Macaca fascicularis: one gene and its partners. The protein of the gene in region 2 purifies or fractionates together with the protein of the main gene of each other region. This does not show direct contact. Links are inferred from orthologs where the notes say so. Each region holds a gene or a part of one and is shown on either strand. Other genes may lie near its edges.

Region 1 (3,515 bases), on a different chromosome or scaffold from region 2:
GCCGAGGTGGGTGGATCACCTGAAGTTGGGAGTTCGAGACCACCTGACCAACGTGGAGAAACCCCATCTCTACTAAAAATACAAAATTAGCCGGGCATGGTGGTGTATGCCTGTAATCCCAGCTACCTGGGGAGACTGAGGCAGGAGAATCGCTTGAACCCAAAGGCGGAGGTGTGGTAAGCTGAGATCACACCATTGCACCCCAGTCTGGGAAACAAGAATGAAACTCCATCTCAAAAAAAAAAAAAAAAACCCTGCCTCACTATAATTCCATTTCACACTCATCCCTTAGAGAAAAATGACAAGCTGTTATAAAATATGAAATATGTGTAAATACATTTTCCTTAGATTATTAAAAGATCAGTAACAGAAACAGGCTGAGATTTTTTTTTTCCCAATTCAAAACCACTGCTTGGTTTGATCTGAATAAATAAAATCTTATAAAAGTCAGCGGAATCACTTCACTATGTCCCAAATTTTGGATAACCAGACTAAAGGTTTTGGTTTACAAATAGTTTAATTCATGTATTTGTTATAGTTTATAGCAGTTTGGTTTGTAATAAATCTAAATCCATAAAAGAGTAAGACAAGCTTAAAAGGATTTCTGTTACGAGAAATCAGTAGTTACTATCAAACTTTTAATCACTAGTCACTCTCCAACTCATTCAATATACAAATATAAATGTAAAGTTGTATAAAATCTTCTTACGCATGTGGGATTGTGGTTTTGAAGATATCCAGTGTGCAGTTGCAAGTTTTATCCCAGATTTCTAGGGTAAATTTTTCACCATTCAGAATAACAACATTCTCTAAACAGTTTGTACCAGATCGTGCTAACTGCTCATTGTCTAGGAAAGAAAAGAGCAATTCATTTATATATTACCAGGGTCACATTTAACACTTTGTGTCACATATCTGGTACAGACCTACCTTGCTGCACACACCAGTAGAGCTGAGCAAAAATATCATCCAAAAGTACATCACTGAGTACTTCTAAATACTGAGTGAATACATCACAGATTGCATAAAGTGCATGATTGCAAGTTGTTGTCATCCATTCAGCTTTCTGGGGAAAAAAGTCATTAATGAACATCATGCCATTAATCAACTACTATGATTTAAAAAGATATACATATATATATACACATATATATATATAAATGTTTTCATATTTAAAATGTAAGGCTGTCAGTGTTCCTTTTAGACCACTGAATTCCCTCTAGAACGTTACATTCACCTTAACTTAAAATCTGGTATCTATTGCTCCTCATTATCCCATAACCATCTATGCATACAATAATTTAACTATTTTTGGCACTATTTGTTTTATTAAAAAAAACCATCACCGTATCATCTTGATATTAACATTATGATTTTTCAAAGTGCATGAATAGCAACAGCCAGCCTTGCTCTAGACCATGACAGAATATGAAAGGGAAATAAGGAGGTAAGAATTTGTCCAAATGGGGTTAGCATAGGTTTAAAATAAAAATGACTTTCCTGAAGTATGGGTTATCTGAAAACACCATAAAAAAAGGGCTATACAAAATAAGTGTAATTTATTTTTTCAAACCCATAAAAAATAATCACAGAAGTCTGCATTTAACACTGCTGTATGGAACAAAAGGGGAAAATATGAAGCTCTCTTGACACGTTTCCTAAAATGTATATTGTAACTGGTTCATAGTAAAATATGTCGAAATAAATAAAATTTACTTTGTATTCCTTACTTTTTACATAAAAAAGAAGTCACTATATAATACTAAAGAAAGTTATTGGCCAGGCGCGGTGGCTCAAGCCTGTAATCCCAGCACTTTGGGAGACCGAGACGGGCGAATCACGAGGTCAGGAGATGGAGACCATCCTGGCTAACACGGTGAAACCCCGTCTCTACTAAAAAATACAAAAAACTAGCCGAGCGAGGTGGCGGGCGTCTGTGGTCCCAGCTACTCGAGAGGCTGAGGCAGGAGAATGGCGTAAACCCGGGAGGCGGAGCTTGCAGTGAGCTGAGATCTGGCCACAGCACTCCAGCCTGGGCGACAGAGCAAAACTCCGTCTCAAAAAAAAAAAAAAAAGAAAGTTACTGACGTTTTATAGTTTTGACTGTCGAAACGAGGAAAAGAAATGGAAAAGTCAGAAAAACACTAAAAACAAAACAGAACAAAAAAATCAATTCATTAATTCAGTTCTATCCCCCACATAGCATTCTTTTTCTTTTTTGAGACGGAGTTTCGCTGGTCACCCAGGCTGCAGTGCAGTGGCACAATCTCAGCTCATGGCAACCTCCACCTCCCGGGTTCAAACGATTCTCCTGCCTCAGCCTCCCAAGTAGCTGGGACTACAGGCACCTGCCACCACACCTGGATAATTTTTGTATTTTTAGTAGAGATGGGGTTTCACCATGTTGGTGAGGCTGGTCTCAAACTCCTGACCTCAGACGATCCACACGCCTTGGCCTTCCAAAGTGCTGGGATTACAGGCGTGAGCCACTGTGCCCAGCCAGTGTTCTTATTTATAAAGACATAGTATTATATTCTCATGCCTTAAAGAAAAATTTTCTAGGAATTCTCTTCTGTACTTAATTTGAAACACTAAAATGTATTGATGATAATACTGAGGATCTTTTAACTTGACTAAGCTAAATGAAAATTGTGTATCCTCTTACCTCTGTCTGTTGTTCTGGCAATTTCATATTGTCAAAGATTCGGAAAACAATTCTAAATAAATCCTGCCACCAGTGTTTCTCATAAGTGTGGCCATATGTTTTCATTATTTCAAACATTACTGTTAAACCCCTAAAATGACAAAACACAATTAGAAAGCTATAATACAAAAAAGCATACTCCTCCTAAAATAGTTTTTATAGTTCACAAAGCTACTAAAACCAGAAAGCTTAAAACTAGTCTGAAATTAACACACGACACTGGGTTTTAAAAAAGTTAAGTTGTAAGAACAACAGGTTCCTTTAAGATATATCATTCAGGAAAAAAAAATCTCCAAAGGTCTTGGCCGTAAACTTTTTAATTTTACTTTTCCTTTACTCTTACCTCACCATTGCAGCATTTAAAAACTGTAAATGGAATTACAGATTGAAAACGATAATTGTTTGAGTGAATATTAATTTTGTGGTTCTACAGCCAAAAAAGAAAATACATATATAGCAGTCTAAGAACAAAACAAAAGTTAGATTTTGGAAAATCTTTTTCAAAGAACTATGGGGATTTTCACCCAATACTAGAAGCCTTATTCATGCAACATCCCCAAACAAAAGGATTTACAAAACAAATCCACTAAGGGGTCTTTCTGTGTTTCATTTCTTGCTATATCCCAGGCACACAGCAGTGCTCATTGCCTGGAAGGCAAACAATAAATATTTGCTAAATAAATTGCTTAGCATCACATTGAGTAGCTTTTGTGTAAGTGTTAAAACTGAAACTCAAAACTTTCTTCTTCATTCCTTCCTGTTTCTTGAAATAATACTTTTATGTAACCATTAGAAACTTTAATCTTTTCTC
Region 2 (4,143 bases):
CAATCACTTGACATTCCAAACACAGCTGATTCTTTGGGAGGGCTGTCCTTTGAGCTAGGGTTGGTCAGAACCTGTAATAATCCTGTGTGTCCTCCAAATCACGTAGTGTCCCTAACGAACAATCTCATTGGTAGGCGGGTTCCCACAGATCTTCAGATCTAGACAGCGGTTGGCTTTTAGACATTGTATATATTATCAGAGAAGTAGCCTAGTGGTGGTGGGGCACGGACAAAATAGATATGGGCAGCTCTAAAGACCAGCTGTTAAGACAGACGGCAAACTCATTTCAGCAAGGGAAAAACAGCTCTAATTCTAGATTGTGAAAGAACACTTCTAAATCCAAAGACATAAGGTTGTCAAATCAGGATTTTTTTTTTTTTTAATGATATTCTTTCGAATGTGTGTAACTGATTTTGGGAATATCACATGTTCAGAACTGGGGCTAAATGGTTTGATCAGGTTTTCTCTTTGAAGAGACCACAGCCTTAGGACACGGTTCTTCATCTACATAATTCCACCTTGGACACTGGGTTAATTTTGTTTGCCCCTGAAACACAATCACGTAGTTTCCTTCTAGACTGCATCCTGATATGTCTCGAGTATAATCACATGTTGCTACCTAGTAAATAAAATCTTAAAAAGATCCGTGGCTTTCTTTCACCAGTTCATAGCATCGTGATTCATTGCCCGGATTGGACTCGGCTCTACTCACTGGACATCTAACCTCTCCACTTAATTAACAGTACGCACCCTACAAGGGTGTTGTGAGGATTAAAATTTAAAATACCCGTGTTTTCTACAGTGCCTGGCGCACAGCGCTCAAAAGCTATTGCAAGCTCGTTACTGCTCATTCTCCAGAAGCCCACATCAAGTCAGCCACGACTCAAGGAGACTCCAAAGATAAAAGCTGGAACCAAAATACATGATTCTAAACACCCTCCTCAGCTACTGCAAAGTCGTGAGCACTTTCTCAGGAAGAGAGCCAAAAAGTCCAGCACCTATGGGTCACCACAGTTTCCGAGGTCCCAGATGAGAAAAATGAGCTCGCTACCACCGTGCGGCGATCCTTCCTCTCGCAATAGTCCCAGTGCTCCCGGGCCCTGCCTCCGGACGCCAGTACAGAGTTACCAAAATCTCACCTCTTGCAAAGAAAACGAATCGCTACGGGGACCGGAAGAGGAAGAGGTGCGGCTCCAACAGCCAGAGGGGCGGGCATACGCAGCCTCCCTCGGCTCAGCCTGCAACGGGGGATGCAGAGCGTCCTGGTCGCCATGAAAACAGGCCACACCCCGGCGATCCCTGCCCGTGGTTCGCAAGTGCGCAGCCGCGCGCCCCCTTCCGCGCATGAGCAGTTCTGCTCCCAACCCGCCAGTCGCGGTCTCCGGCGCCAGCTACGCCGCTGCCGCTGTCACTATGGCCCATTACAAAGTGAGGGGGGCGCGGCGTGGCTGGGGGCATGCGGGCGGTAGCAAGCCGTTGGTCGGCTCTGGGTGGGAGTGGGGTCGCGCGCGCAGGTTTGGGCGGGAGGGCCCCGAGGTAGCGAGGCGGAGGCGGGGTTGCCAGACTCCTAGCACCTTCTTCCTGCTCGGCTCCCGGGCTCTGGCCACTGACCCCCGGTGTCTCTTCAGGCCGCCGACTCGAAGCGTGAGCAGTTCCGGAGGTACTTGGAGAAGTCGGGGGTGCTGGACACGCTGACCAAGGGTGAGCCTGGGCTAGGAGAGGGTACCTCGTGCCCTCGTCGTGCTCCCCGGCGCTGCCCCTTTCCCCAGCGGGCCGTAGCGTGGGGAAGGAGGGGAAACAGATGGGGCCCGTCCGGGGTCCAGCGAGGTGGGCCTCGGGGTTCGGTAGGGACCTGGCTGCTGGAGGCCGCCCGGGTGAGGTAGCCTAGCTACGCTACCCTTCTCTGCACTGGGAGTGAAACTCTTGCAGCTGTTGCAAAGTCTCTTCAACTTCCGTTGCTTTGCCTCGAGCAGCCGCAGTGGACATGTTTGCCAAAGACCTTCAGATCCCAATTCCTCCCACCTTACGGTTTTTGTGGAGTCCTCAGAATCTTGTTAAGAAACAGTTTCCCTCCAACAAAGAGCAACTGGAAAAATGACCGAATTTCAAAGTGGGCTATGAAATAGTTGAGTGAGCCTAATCCCCGAAGTAGGAGATGCATGGCCAATTTGGCTGTGGCTTTTCAGCCCCCATTCCTTAGTCTGTGTCAATTTTTATTTTGTGTATATTTCATAGTTAAAGTAGAATTACAGTTTAAAGAGCTCGAGGGCATATCAAAATGGTTACATTGTTTTCACTTTTTAAAATGAAAACTTACTGTTAACGCTGTATCTCTTCATTCGTGGCTTCGAGATCTAAGTAAGTAGATGAGTAAAGTGTCGGAAACAGGAGGATTCCAAGGGGTAGGGTACAGTTTACTTCATTAGCTTAACAGTAATTTAAATGCCTGCTATGTCACTTAACTCACTGGGATTTTCAAGGGTGTAGAATGGAATTGTTGGCAGGGATCAGGACTTGGGTCAAACTAGGAAGTTTGGGAAGTGTGGGAAATAAGTAGGTAACTGCTCTTTGGACAGAAGCAAAGTTTAGAGGAAAATTCTAGGAGCATAACTCCTGGGTCTTAGCAGAAAGCAGGCTAGTAATTTTGAATTGTTACCTATTTGGGGTTCAGATAATAGTTTACCTCTTTGCAAATAAACTTCAGCAAGTATTAAGGGACTACTCTGAAAGTACTGTGCTATGTTGTCTCTGGAAGTGTCACAGATGCTTTGAATGTCATTCCCTCTAAAAACTCCATAAGTTCATTTCTTTCATTTAATCATTTTACTCAGGCATCTGTTCTGCACACTGGAGATAAGCAGAGGAGGATAAAAGTCTCGGCTCTCATAAGCTTATGTCCTAGTTGAGGGAGACAAATACATAAATACCTAGTGTCAGCTAGAGGTAAGTGTTACAGATAAAAATACAGCAGAAGTTAGGGATAAAGAGTAACAGGTGAGGCCAGGCACGTGGCTCATGCCTGTAGTCTTAGCACTTTGGGAGGCTGAGGTGGGTGGACTGCTAGAGCCCAGGAGTTCAAGAGCAGTCTGGGCAACATGGCAAAACTCCCGTCTCTTAAAAGAAAAAATTGCTGGGCATGGTGTGTGCCTGTAATTTAGCTACTCTGGAGGCTGAGGTGAGAGAATCACTTGAACCCAAGAGGTCAAGGGTCCAGTGAGTTGTGATTGTGCCCCTGGGCAACAGTGACACTCTTTCTCAAAAAAAAAAAAACAAGTGACAGGTGGGATGTGTGTGTCATTTTATATAGGGTGGTGGGGGGAAGGCCTTTCTTAAGTACTTTTGAGCAGAAACCTGAAAGAAACAATATCTGTCAAGAGTTTCAGGAAGTATAAGGAGGCCAGAGTGGTTGGATGGAGCAAGCGAAAGATTGAATGGTAAAAGGCAGAAAAATGACAGTTGTAGGAGGTAACTGACTACACAGAAGATGTTGCCCAAGCTGGAGTGCAGCGGCATGATCTCAGCTGACTGCAGCCTCCACCTCCGGGTTCAAGCGATTGTCCTGCCTTAGCCTCCCAAGTAGCTGGGACTACAGGCATGCGCCACCATGCTCAGCTAATTTTTTGTATTTTTAGTAGAGACGAGGTTTCACCAGGTGGGCCAGGCTGGTCTTGAACTCCTTACCTTGCCTCAGCCCCTCAAAGTGCTGGGATTACAAGTGTGAGCCATCGCGCCTGGCCTCCACTAGAATTTAACCTTTTAATCTCCTTAGATTTCCAGGCTCCTAAATAACATCAGCCAACACAGTATTGACGTGATTTATTAAAAATTTGATTTTCAGCTTCAAACACAGGTGCTTTATACAATTCTATTTGTTTTTACTTTTTATTTTTTTTTGAGACAATCTCACTCTGTCACCTAGGAATGCCTGGCCTCAAGTGATCCTCCTGTCTTAGCTTCCCCAAGTGTTGATGTTATAGGCATGACCCACTGTGCCCAGCCTCACAAATTTAATTTACATATATATATATTTTTTTGAGACAAGGTCTCTGTCGCCCAGACTGGAGTGCAGTGGTGCAGTCACGTCTCACTGCAGTCTTAATCTCCCAGGTTCAAGCAATTCTTCCACCTCAGACACCCAAGTAG
Region 3 (4,080 bases), on a different chromosome or scaffold from region 2:
TTTTTTTTGTAGACATAGGTCTCACTATATTGCTTAAGCAGGTCTCGAACTCCTGGGTTTAAAGGATCCCCCTGCCTCTGCCTCCTCCGTGCGGGGATTACAGGCAGGAGCCATGGCACCTGGTGCTATTTTGCATTCTTTTTTTCATACGAAGTGTTTGAAATCCAGTTTGTACAGTGTTTTACATTTATAGCACATTCCCACTGGGACTAGTCACATTTGAGGTGCTCAAAAGCCACTATGGCTAGGGCTAATGTATTGGACAACACAGTGCTAGGGAGCCCGTCCTGAGGACGCTGCAGTTTATAACATCATAGTTCCTACTCTTTGGACTGCTGCTTTCCCCCAATGTATTAAGACTTGCAGAGTGTAAATAGGGCGCCGTGAGTGTGCAAAGGAACACACCTTCGCAAACGGCTCACTCTGAATACTTACTTTTCGGCTGTCCTACCTTCAATAGGCTTCCCGTGCACAAGCAGAAGGCAGGAGCTGGCGGGGCGGGGAGGAAGGGCGGCTCTGCCATTTAACTATCTGTGCGATGCTGAGCAAATTACACACGGTCTCACTGACTCAGCTCCTTCCTGTTTCAAATGGGTATTATAGTATTTCTCACTACGTAGGTCCTTATGCGGATTAAATGAGCTACTACACGCCATTCGGCACAGCGCCAGGCACACACTCAATGTTCAATACATGTAGGCGGTAAGCCCAGTAAACTGGTAGCCGGCCTGAGCAAGTCCCAGGAAAAGCCCAGAAACTCTGGAGACATTACAGCCCAGGTCAAGAACCACGGCCCAGGCCGTCCTGTACGCGGGCCCGCCAAGCCTAGGGAAGCAGCTTGTCACCGCTTCGGCTTCTAGACTCCCTGGCCGGCTCTTTCCCGTCAAGGCTGCGGCTGGAGGGGCCTGAGGGAGACCTAGGGAGCGGCTTCCTCTTTCCATCCACGGAGACAACTTGGATGTGAACACCATGAATGTGAGGAGGTCCACTGGAATCAGGAGGGATGGACTCCTGGACTCCCCAGCTACCTGCGGGGTCCTTCCCGGTGTGAGGACACAAGACCTGTCCTGGGCCGGGCCCGCATCCAGCCCTACAGTCGGTGTCTGCGGTGAGGGCTCCGTCAGCGGAAAGCGCGTGACAATCCACGGGCTGGCAGGACCGGGGGCGTGGTCAACGCGGGACCCGCCCCCCGTCCCCGGGCCCCAGCGCCGAGCGGACGCGCCCGCCTGAAGCAGCCAATTGGGAAGCGCAGAGCAGGTTCAAACACAGACGGCGGGTGAACATGGCGTCCTCGACTTGGTTTGAGACGTGATCGGCCTGCCTTCTGGCTGAAGATGTGGCGGGTGAAAAAACTGAGCCTTAGCCTGTCGCCTTCGCCCCAGACGGTGAGCGGGAAAGCTCCGGCGGAGAGAGCTGGGCCGGGCTGCTGGCGCGGGGGCACCGGCCGTGTCGACTGTCCTGGAAAGTTGGGTCGAGCCCGGGGTTGGGTGCTTGTGGAGTCTTTGTTCGCCTTGCCGCTCCTGCGCGACTAGAATGCGAGCCTACTCTTCTAATCGCCTCTTGGGCTTCTTAGGGAGGGAGGAAGGGCGGGCTAGCAGAGCCCAGGCTTCCTCACACTAGCCCTCTTTCTTGATTTCTTTCTTAGGGAAAACCAGCTATGAGAACTCCTCTCCGCGAACTTATCCTGCAGCCCGGTGCCCTCACCAACTCTGGAAAAAGGCCCCCCGCTTGCTCCTCGCTGACCCCATCACTGTGCAAGCTGGGGCTGCAGGTGAGATTCGCCTGGACAGCTTCTCGACTGGGCTGTTTGCCCAGGGTGAGAGCTCAGGGGAACAGAGGGCCAGGGCTAGAATAATTAATAACGATAATGAAGTCTTCTACGTCACTGACATCCATTTACAGCTATTCAGGCCAACAGAGAGGTGCCCTAGGGTGGTTAAAGGAAATCTACTGAGAACCTGAATCTCTGTTTAGCTGTTAGTTTTTATTACCTCCTCCTCCTCCTCCCTTCGACCTTTATCAAACTACTTAGAAATCCTGCCACTCTGATTAGTGCTCTTCCTCCAACATGGGGTCACTTATGGAAAGGTCAGTCAGCTGTAAGATTGAGGCAATATCCATTCACTCTAGGAGGTAGTCAGAACTCTCCTGGGATCAAGTTACACCACTGGAAGGCAGGGTACTTGGATCACCTTAGTTTAAACTAGCCCCTTGCAGAATTGCCCTCACCGATTTGTACTTTTGTTAAACGTCTTGAGAGATGTAGCCATGTAGAAACTGCATTTCAGTTGCTGTCAAAACTTGTCAAGGAAGAAGCTTGACTCCTGTATAAGATTCCTCAAAGAAAGGCTTTGGGACTAACTGCCTGGAAAAATTGTCTTCCTGAAGAAATTGCTATCCTTTTCTTTCTGATAATGAGAACTATGCAGTTTACCATATTTTCCCTCTTGCTCTGCCTTCTAGAAAGCTCAAGGCCAAACTGGATCATCACATACAGCTACTGTTACTCGCAAAATAGGAAGTTTTGCTTCCTCTTTTTTGACCATGACTTTGTTATTTCATTAATCATATCTATTCATTTTCATGCATATGAATTATTTTTGGAAGGAGATGGGATATCAGTAAAATTGGTTTGAGGAGGAAAGAGTGTATAAAGACAGATGACATCCTGAGTAACAGTAGGATGATAGCAGTCTTTCTTGAAAGAGTTGCAAAATACCTACTGTCCAATAGAACTTTCTGGGATGAGGGAAATATTTGATAATCTGTGCTGTCCAGCATGGTAACTACTAGTCACATGGTTACCGAGCACTTAAAATGTGGCTGAGGTGACTGAAGAATTGAATTTTTTTGTTTTTGAGATGGGAGTCTTGCTCTGTCACCCAGGCTGGAGTGCAGTGGAGTGATCTTGGCTCACTGCAATCTCTGCCTCCAGGGCTCAAGGGATTCTCCTGCCTCAGGCTCCTGAGTAACTGGGATTACAGGTGCATGCCACCACACCCAGGTAATTTTTTGTATTTTTAGTAGAGATAGGGTTTCACAATGTTGGCCACGCTGGTCTCAAACTCCTGACCTCAACTGGTCCGCCTGCCTCGGCCTTCCAAAGTGCTGGGATTACAGGTGTGAGCCGCTGCGCCTGGCCTGAAGAATTGAATTTTTAATTAAATTAAATTAAATTTTTTTTTTTTTTTTTTTGAGATGGAGTTTCGCTCTTGTTGCCCAGGTTGGAGTGCAATGGTGTGATCTCGGCTCACTGCAACCTCTGCCTCCCGGGTTCAAGCAATTCTCCTGTCTCAGCCTCCGGCATGTGCCACCACGCCCAGCTAATTTTTGTATTTTCAGTAAAGATGGGGTTTCTCCACGTTGATCGGGCTGGTCTCGAACTCATGACCTCAGGTGATCTGCCCGCCTTTGCCTCCCAAAGAGCTGGGATTATAGGCGTGAGCCACTGCGCCTGGCCTGAATTTTTAATTTAAATAGCTACGTGTGACAGGTAGCTATCATATTAGACAGTACAGCTTAAGGTGGAAAATAAATAAGTACTAGGTAGAAATTGAGCTCTATAGAGCTTATAGAATTTATTATGATTATTAATTAATTTATTTATTTTGAGATGCAGTTTCGCTCTTGTTCCGTAGGCTAGAGTGCAATGGCATGATCTTGGCTCACTGCATCCTCTGCCTCCTCGGTTCAAGCGATTCTCCTGCCTCAGCCTCCCTAGTAGCTGGGATTACAGGCATGTGCCACCACGCCTGGCTAATTTTCGTATTTTTAGTAGAGATGGGGTTTTGCCATATTGGCCAGGCTGGTCTCGAATTCCTGACCTCAGGTGATCCACCTGCCTCAGCCTCCCAAAGTGTTGGGATTACAGGCAGGAGCCACAGCGCCTGGCCTGAGCTTATAGAATTTAACCATGATTATTTAATCACAATAGCAGAATACTAGATTGAAATTGAATTCTCCTTCCCTCTTAACTACTGGGCGTACTACCTTCAGATGTAGTCAGCTACTCGATGAAAAGGGTTTTTCCCCAACAAAATAGCCATTATTTTTGTTTTGTAAAAAAAATTTTTTTTTGAG
Region 4 (3,515 bases), on a different chromosome or scaffold from region 2:
TTATCAGTAAAAACAAAGTAGCCGGGCGCGGTGGCTCAAGCCTGTAATCCCAGCACTTTGGGAGGCCGAGGCGGGCGGATCACGAGGTCAGGAGATCGAGACCATCCTGGCTAACACGGTGAAACCCCGTCTCTACTAAAAATACAAAAAACTAGCCGGGCGCGGTGGCGGGCGCCTGTAGTCCCAGCTACTCGGGAGGCTGAGGCAGGAGAATGGCGTAAACCCGGGAGGCGGAGCTTGCAGTGAGCTGAGATCCGGCCACTGCACTCCAGCCTGGGTGACAGAGCAAGACTCCGTCTCAAAAAAAACAAAAAAAAAACAAAGTAAGTCCAAAGAGGTCTACAATAAAATCCATCTCCTTAACCTCCCAGACCTCCATATCTCCTACCTAAAAGAAAGAAAACCTTTTCTTCTTTGTCCCTCTAAATTCTTTTCTAAACTGATTTTCTAAATTGTTCAAAAAGTAGGAGCACAATATGTTAAGGCTCTAAACAAAAGAGGCAACATGCCCTGGTTCTGAAGGCAGGGCTATGGTCCCACATACCCCAGGCTTCCAGGTATGGCTTTTCCACTCGCCAGCAACATGACCATGGGCAAGTTATTTTTCTCTCCTTTCAGTTTCCTCATAATGCAAAATGGAGCTAATAATAGTACCTACGTCACAGAACTCATGGAGATGGAATGAGGGTGCACAGGATACACGTAAGAGGATACACATAATTTGCACACAGCAACCACTCTACAAGTGAGAGCAACTATTATTACAATTATTATCTTCCCATTTTTCCTATATTAAAAACGTGTAACTGTGATTTTTATCCCTAAAAATAGATCCATTAACTGTTCTCTTGCAATTAATATTACGCAACTGTAAATCCTTGATAAAAGAGGAAAAAAGCCTAAGTTTTCTTCCTATTGTTATATTGCCCACACTGAATTGTGTACCTGCCAAGTACAACATACAGGACAATGCTTTAAGCAAACTCCCACTTTTAGTAGTAAACCAAAGTCCTCAAGCTGATATTTCATTCTTCATCAATGACAAGACATTTTTCCTTCAAAAGTTTCACAATAAAAAAATTTTCTGAACTTAGTTCTAATCAAAAGTTTAAACTACATCTTACACACTCGAGTAAACAAAAGTCACCTTAGAGTCATCTCAGTTTCTTAAAATTTTATCCAAATTATCCAATGACCATGTTATCCAAATAAAATGGTCAAGTAGTACAGATGGAAATAAAATACTTTAAAAAGGAAAAAAAAAAAGCATGTGCTTTTCCATTTACTTTATCAAAAGCACCTCCTTTACCAAAAGCAATTTCAACCTCAAAGGAAATATGCTTGACTTAAAATAACATGACTTTAATGATACAGCATAAGCCATCTTCTCTTCTCTGTTGAGAAGGGTGAGGAGAGAGACCTTTAAACCCTGGATTTAATCTCGTTTGTTCTCTTTCAAGTTTTCCCAATCAATGTAGTAAAAGCTTCCACAATTTCCTTCTACAATTAGAGCAGATTTATGACAATCCCATAAGGCAGTACCTGAATGAATCATGTTCTCTTTTTCCTCACCTTTAAATACCCCAGAATGAGAACTATTAAAGGTTCTTAAGATAAAATCCTGGCTAATCAGATGACTTCACAAAAGCCAATTTATCATAAAGTAAATGTTTCCTCTGTAAGTCAAAAATAAATGTTTGCCAATGGCTGTTTTAAAGTTGTTTTTTAAAAGGCAACACTTTTTGATGGAAATAATTTCTGATGAGAATTAACTTCCACATAACATTTTTTGTGTATGTGGTTTTGTTTTTGTTTTTGAAATAGCAATATTTTTCCATAAACAAGGAACAAAAAACAAGAAGAGACCTTGTAAATTATCTTACCTAGGGTTTCTTCTGCCTAAGCATTACTGACACTTTGGACTAGGTATTCTTTGTTAGAGGGAGATGAGGGAGGCTGTTCTGTGCACTGTAGACTATTTGGCTACAGCTTTGGCCTCTACCCACTAGATGTCAGTAGCACCCTCCCAGTTGTGACAGTAAAAAATTTCTCGACACTGCTGAATGTTCAGTGGGGGTAGGGGGGGCAGGGGAGGAAGTGAGGGGGTTAACTACTAGATTAAGAAACACTGATTTTAATCCAACTTTCTCCTTTTAACCATCAGCTACTCAAACCCAGGGCAGCTGCATATTCAAATTAATTGGCAAAAACTTCTCTGTGGTTCACTTTCCTTCCTCAGTCCAACAGTAAACATTATGTATGTACCAACATCATCCAAGATGATTTTCATAAACAAAACTAAATGACCTATAGTCAATTTTGAATCAATTTCAGTCAATTTTAACAAAAAAACCTCAATATCTGATATGTTATTATCATTACTTCTTTGAACCAAGTTAATACCAAAGGCTGAATTGTTTTTAAAGATCATGTGATGGAATGCCAGTTTCAGATACATACAATTTTAACAATGTATTCAAATGAGTCAAAAAGCTAAATACTTGTAAACTACTAAAATGTATATACATAATAAATATATTCTGAAATCCCAAAGTTGTTTTCTCGGTTCATATTAGAAAAAGCAAGGTTTCAAGTAAAATCTCTTATTTTACATGAGTCACTTACTTGACATTTGTCTCCAACTTCATATTGTAAGCCAGCAGCAATGGAATAATCACGTTTTTGCTGAGCTGTTAAAAAAAAAAAAAAGGTCAGTATAATATAAAGTTGACTTATTTTCAAGTGCTACAAAGCAAATTTATGGAAAATGCAGATTTTTAACTCACCTTGTTTAGACTTCAGCCAAATTTCATATTCCACATTTCTATAGACTGAAGGATTGAGTGACTTAAGAACCTTTCTAGACAAAGGCAGGCTAGTAGAGTTCCCATTGTTCTTCAGCTGCTAAACAAACAAAGTCAAGAAGTCCAATCAACACAAGTGCTTTTAAAACATTTTTGTTTGAGATACATGTAAAACTAAAGTCAAATGAAGAAAAGAAACTTCAAAAAACTAGGAAGCCACCAAATCAATTTCTTAGATGATCCTGACTTGACTGAAATGTACCAGAAAAAAGAAAAAAAAATTAAGATTTTAATGTATATGCTTTCTTATATTAAAGAGCTAGTTTTAAAACCACTTTAAAAAAAAATACCTCATTGTCTGACAAAGGTTTAAATCCATTCACATCAGCAGCAGCAGCAGTTTTACTCCTACAAAGAAAGATAACCATAATTAGGGGCAGAAAAAAGGTATTTGCATGTAATTACCTTCTAACTTCATCTAAAAGTCTTCAAAGTCAGAATTATGCTCCAAAAAGTCAGAGCTATATTCCAGTGAGCTCATACAAGTTTTGGTATAAATATATCTATATATAAAAGAGTATATGTATGTAAATGTATATATATATAAGATAGAAGTCAAAGACAACAGTAATTCTAACTGGCTCAGTAATCAGTAAGAGAACAGAAATAAACTGTGAAATCTGGGTGGGTAGAATAATTGAATTTACTCAC
Region 5 (3,515 bases), on a different chromosome or scaffold from region 2:
GAAAATAGCATTTTTAAGCACCAAAGCAGGTAAGTTAGGCAGATGAACAGGAAGTCTGTTTTGTCTAAGCCAGTCAAGTAGCTTGGACACTACCTATCCTTATTTTTTTTGGAGATGGAGTTTCGTTCTTGTTGCCTAGGCTGGAGTGCAATGGTGCAATCTCGGCTCACCGCAACCTCTACCTCCTGGGTTCAAGCCAGTCTCCTGCCTCAGCCTCCCGAGTAGCTGGGATTACAGGCACGTACCACCACGCCCGGCTAATTTTGTATTTTTAGTAGAGACGGGGTTTCTCCATGTTGGTCAGGCTGGTCTCGAACTCCCGACCTGAGGTTATCTGCCTGCCTCGGTCTCCCAAAGTGCTGGGATTATAGGCGTGAGCCACCGTGCCCAGCCTACCCATTCTTAAAGACAGTTTTAATCCGTATCTCCATTTTTGCCCCTAATGAGCTGTCATCACAAAGCTATGGATTTCTTGTCAGTAGGCATGAGTAAGTAGTTTGCTAAGACTCTTGATTAACTGAAAATTTCTGATCATTTCTAAGTTTTGCCAAATCTAAAAGAACACAACCCACCAGTATCTCTGGAGCGTTGCTGACTTAACACCTACCTGCATTCCAAAGATGCAGGCAATTCGGATTGCACATCGGATACCTTCCAAACACAAGGAGGCCACTTCAGTGTCGTCACAGTTCTGGAGTCCGATGCTGTAGGCTGCCAATAGTGGCGTCCACACCAGCTATCAAGGAAGGAAGGTTTCAGTAACATCCAGAGTTTCAGCGTGGAAAGAGTACTTCTAGCTGGCCAGCTTCAGAATCAGGCTTAGCCACATGCTTGCTGAGTTCTCAGGATACTCACTTTGAACATTGGGCGGACGTGGTCCAGGTGAGTGGCACTCGTAAACGGGGCTTTTGCATGGCTCACAGCCTCCATCAGAGCTTTGGCTGTTTTAGCCATTTGCTCCATCTCTAAGTTGTACAGGAGCCGCCGCTGCTTTTCACTAGCTACATCTATAAAGTAAGAGCACGATAGGTGTGGCCAGCCATCACCTGAGGGCTGGCTACATGCCATGCACTGTTTCAAAAGATACACAATGATTAACTCCTAAATCCTCCCAACCATCTCGTGAGTCCGTTACAAATATTATTACCATTTAACGGATGGGAAAAATGAGCAGGTAAGTCACTTGCCCAGGGTCATACAATTACTAAGTAGAGGAGCTGGGACTTGATCTAAGGCAGTGTGGCTCTAGAGCCTGCACTCTAAACCACTACCCTTTGCTGCTTCTCAAACGGTGAAACTGACAGCTCCCCAGGGGCCATAACTAATAGAATTCTAATCAAGGTGGGCACAATCACCACTGAATTAAAGTGAAGTTTTAAGGAACACTTTTTGGGAGTAATTTAGTTCTCAGATTACTAATTTCAAATTCCTTCTTGCTCCTCATCAGAAATCTAGCAAGACAGTGACATTATAAAAGACCTAACATAATCACAAGAATTAGTTCAATCACATTTCCTATTCAGATATCTAGATATGCACATTAAATTTATCACCAGAGTATCTAATCATGCACTCTGATACACTAACAAATTAGAACTAAAAGAAATAATTTGCCATTAGACCTTACTCTGCTTAGTAGATTTGGTAGCAATCGTGAGCTCTTTTGTTTCTTTCATTGCAATTTTCTTGCCTTCTATCTCTTCATAGATGCTTGAGAGATACTCTTCTGGCAGATCTTTACTATCATTGATACCCCGATTCATTTTAATATACTGCTCTTTTGTCATTTTATTTTTTACCTGTAATTTTAAAAAAAATTAAAAACCATTTTAAAAACATTCAATTGCCCAAGTAAAGCCACTTATTTAGCTACTACAACATGTAAATCATTGAACTACTTTACCTGAGGACTGTGCAAGTCTGTAGTTAGCATAATAATTGAATATGCTAGGACATAAGCAGTGTCAGCACTAGCAAACAGAGTTTGCCTGGAGAAAAAAATTCGAGATATCAATATTCATAGTGATGAGGTTTAGAAGATACAATGCTAACAGAGACACACTTCATGAGAAAAGCAGCCGATTACTCCCCTTGATTCCAAATGAGGCAAGAGTTTTTACGCTTTCATCATCACTGAATAAGACTTAGCAACCCAGAGTGTAGAAAAAGCTCATTAACAATCTGTATCAAATTTTAGGCTTCTTTGGCAGGGCGTGGTGGCTCAGGCCTGTCATCCCAGCACTTTGGGAGGCAGAGGTGGGTGGATCACCTGAGGTCAGGAGTTCGAGCCCAGCCTGGCCAACATGGTGAAACCCCGTCTCTACTAAAAATACAAAACTTAGCTGGGAGTGGTGGCAGCTGCCCATAATCCCAGCTATTCAGGAGGCTGAGGCAGGAGAATCGCCTGAACCTGGGAGGTGAAGGTTGCAGTGAGCCGAGACTGCGCTACTGCACTCCAACCTGGGTGACAGAGTGAGACGGTCTCAAAATAAATAAATAAATAATTAATTAAAATTTAGCCTTCTTTGAATAAAGCAATTTCAAATAATTTTTTTAAAAAGACTCTAAGAAGCATCTGGGGCCAAGACTAGGGCGAGGCAAGTGAGCAGGTCAGGAGATCTTACACTTGGTGCCGACCTAGAGGGCAACTCACCACATTTCACACACTAAGTGCCTTGAGTGCCTCCCCGCACCCTGTCCTGTTCCTGAGAACATCTATTTTGTGCCATGCACTGTGCTAGACATGAGATATAAAGATGACTAAAACTGCTGTTTAGCTGTTAGTTATAGTCTATATTATCCATTATAACATTGAACAGTAGAAATACCATGGAAAATATTTATGTTGTTCTAAAAAATATGCTGGTGAAGTCTGACTTTTTTGCCTTAGTCAAGAAGAGAAGGACAGCAACATGTGGATGCACAGCCTCATACAATATGAGGCTGAAGCTAGAAACTGTTCTGTCCAAACTGTCCATAACAGAAACAGTAGAAATTTTGAAGAACACAACAAAGGTATTTTAGTATGAGATGAAACTGGGTCACATATTGACCGACTAAGCAAAACAGACCAAGGCTTCCAGGTCCACATAAGAGATACGTTTAAAGTAAACAGCATCTAATTATGCCTTCACAGAGAGTTCTAATGTCCCTTTGGTTAAAATGATCATATGCTGCCTTTGCCAATCCTGCCACCTCCTGGGGACAGCCTGCCATATACTTGGAAGACTGGGAGCAATTAATATGAAAACAAAGTTGACTGGAGAGGCAAAACGGTTATTAAAATGTTTCAACCAGGTGTGGTAGCTCACATTTGTAAATCTCCCACTTTGGGAGTTCGAGGCAGGGGGATCCCTTGAGGCTAGGAGTTCAAGACCAGACTGGGCAACATGGTGAAACTCTCTCTCTGCAGAAATACGATACAAAAAATTAGCCAGGCACAGTGGCATCCACCTGTAGTCCCAGCAGTTCAGGAGGCTGAGGTGGGAGGACTGATCGAGCCCAGGAGATCCAGG

Evidence for each region.
Region 1: the proteins of MYCBP (region 2) and ARFGEF1 purify together in Homo sapiens (co-immunoprecipitation; 4 studies listed by BioGRID and IntAct, with this or other methods). This does not show direct contact. The link is inferred for Macaca fascicularis from reciprocal best matches to the Homo sapiens genes MYCBP and ARFGEF1.
Region 3: the proteins of MYCBP (region 2) and SPAG5 purify together in Homo sapiens (co-immunoprecipitation; 3 studies listed by BioGRID and IntAct, with this or other methods). This does not show direct contact. The link is inferred for Macaca fascicularis from reciprocal best matches to the Homo sapiens genes MYCBP and SPAG5.
Region 4: the proteins of MYCBP (region 2) and OTUD4 purify together in Homo sapiens (co-immunoprecipitation; 3 studies listed by BioGRID and IntAct, with this or other methods). This does not show direct contact. The link is inferred for Macaca fascicularis from reciprocal best matches to the Homo sapiens genes MYCBP and OTUD4.
Region 5: the proteins of MYCBP (region 2) and ARFGEF2 purify together in Homo sapiens (co-immunoprecipitation; 4 studies listed by BioGRID and IntAct, with this or other methods). This does not show direct contact. The link is inferred for Macaca fascicularis from reciprocal best matches to the Homo sapiens genes MYCBP and ARFGEF2.

The regions. Positions count from the first base shown.
Region 1 is NC_088382.1:77,203,193-77,206,707, forward strand, and holds part of ARFGEF1 (brefeldin A-inhibited guanine nucleotide-exchange protein 1), read right to left. Parts: intron 2,796-3,515; coding exon 2,666-2,795; intron 1,067-2,665; coding exon 931-1,066; intron 849-930; coding exon 710-848; intron 1-709. UniProt on the Homo sapiens protein: Promotes guanine-nucleotide exchange on ARF1 and ARF3. Promotes the activation of ARF1/ARF3 through replacement of GDP with GTP. Involved in vesicular trafficking.
Region 2 is NC_088375.1:196,053,927-196,058,069, forward strand, and holds the start of MYCBP (C-Myc-binding protein), read left to right. Parts: upstream 1-1,342; 5' UTR 1,343-1,344; coding exon 1,345-1,428; intron 1,429-1,628; coding exon 1,629-1,701; intron 1,702-4,143. Other genes in the region: GJA9 (gap junction alpha-9 protein), read left to right, coding at 1-162. UniProt on the Homo sapiens protein: May control the transcriptional activity of MYC. Stimulates the activation of E box-dependent transcription by MYC.
Region 3 is NC_088390.1:34,067,033-34,071,112, reverse strand, and holds the start of SPAG5 (sperm-associated antigen 5), read left to right. Parts: upstream 1-1,265; 5' UTR 1,266-1,334; coding exon 1,335-1,385; intron 1,386-1,645; coding exon 1,646-1,816; intron 1,817-4,080. UniProt on the Homo sapiens protein: Essential component of the mitotic spindle required for normal chromosome segregation and progression into anaphase. Required for chromosome alignment, normal timing of sister chromatid segregation, and maintenance of spindle pole architecture.
Region 4 is NC_088379.1:150,054,397-150,057,911, forward strand, and holds part of OTUD4 (OTU domain-containing protein 4), read right to left. Parts: intron 3,213-3,515; coding exon 3,155-3,212; intron 2,905-3,154; coding exon 2,787-2,904; intron 2,691-2,786; coding exon 2,626-2,690; intron 1-2,625.
Region 5 is NC_088384.1:105,052,396-105,055,910, reverse strand, and holds part of ARFGEF2 (brefeldin A-inhibited guanine nucleotide-exchange protein 2), read right to left. Parts: intron 1,989-3,515; coding exon 1,904-1,988; intron 1,800-1,903; coding exon 1,628-1,799; intron 1,008-1,627; coding exon 856-1,007; intron 737-855; coding exon 608-736; intron 1-607. UniProt on the Homo sapiens protein: Promotes guanine-nucleotide exchange on ARF1 and ARF3 and to a lower extent on ARF5 and ARF6. Promotes the activation of ARF1/ARF5/ARF6 through replacement of GDP with GTP. Involved in the regulation of Golgi vesicular transport.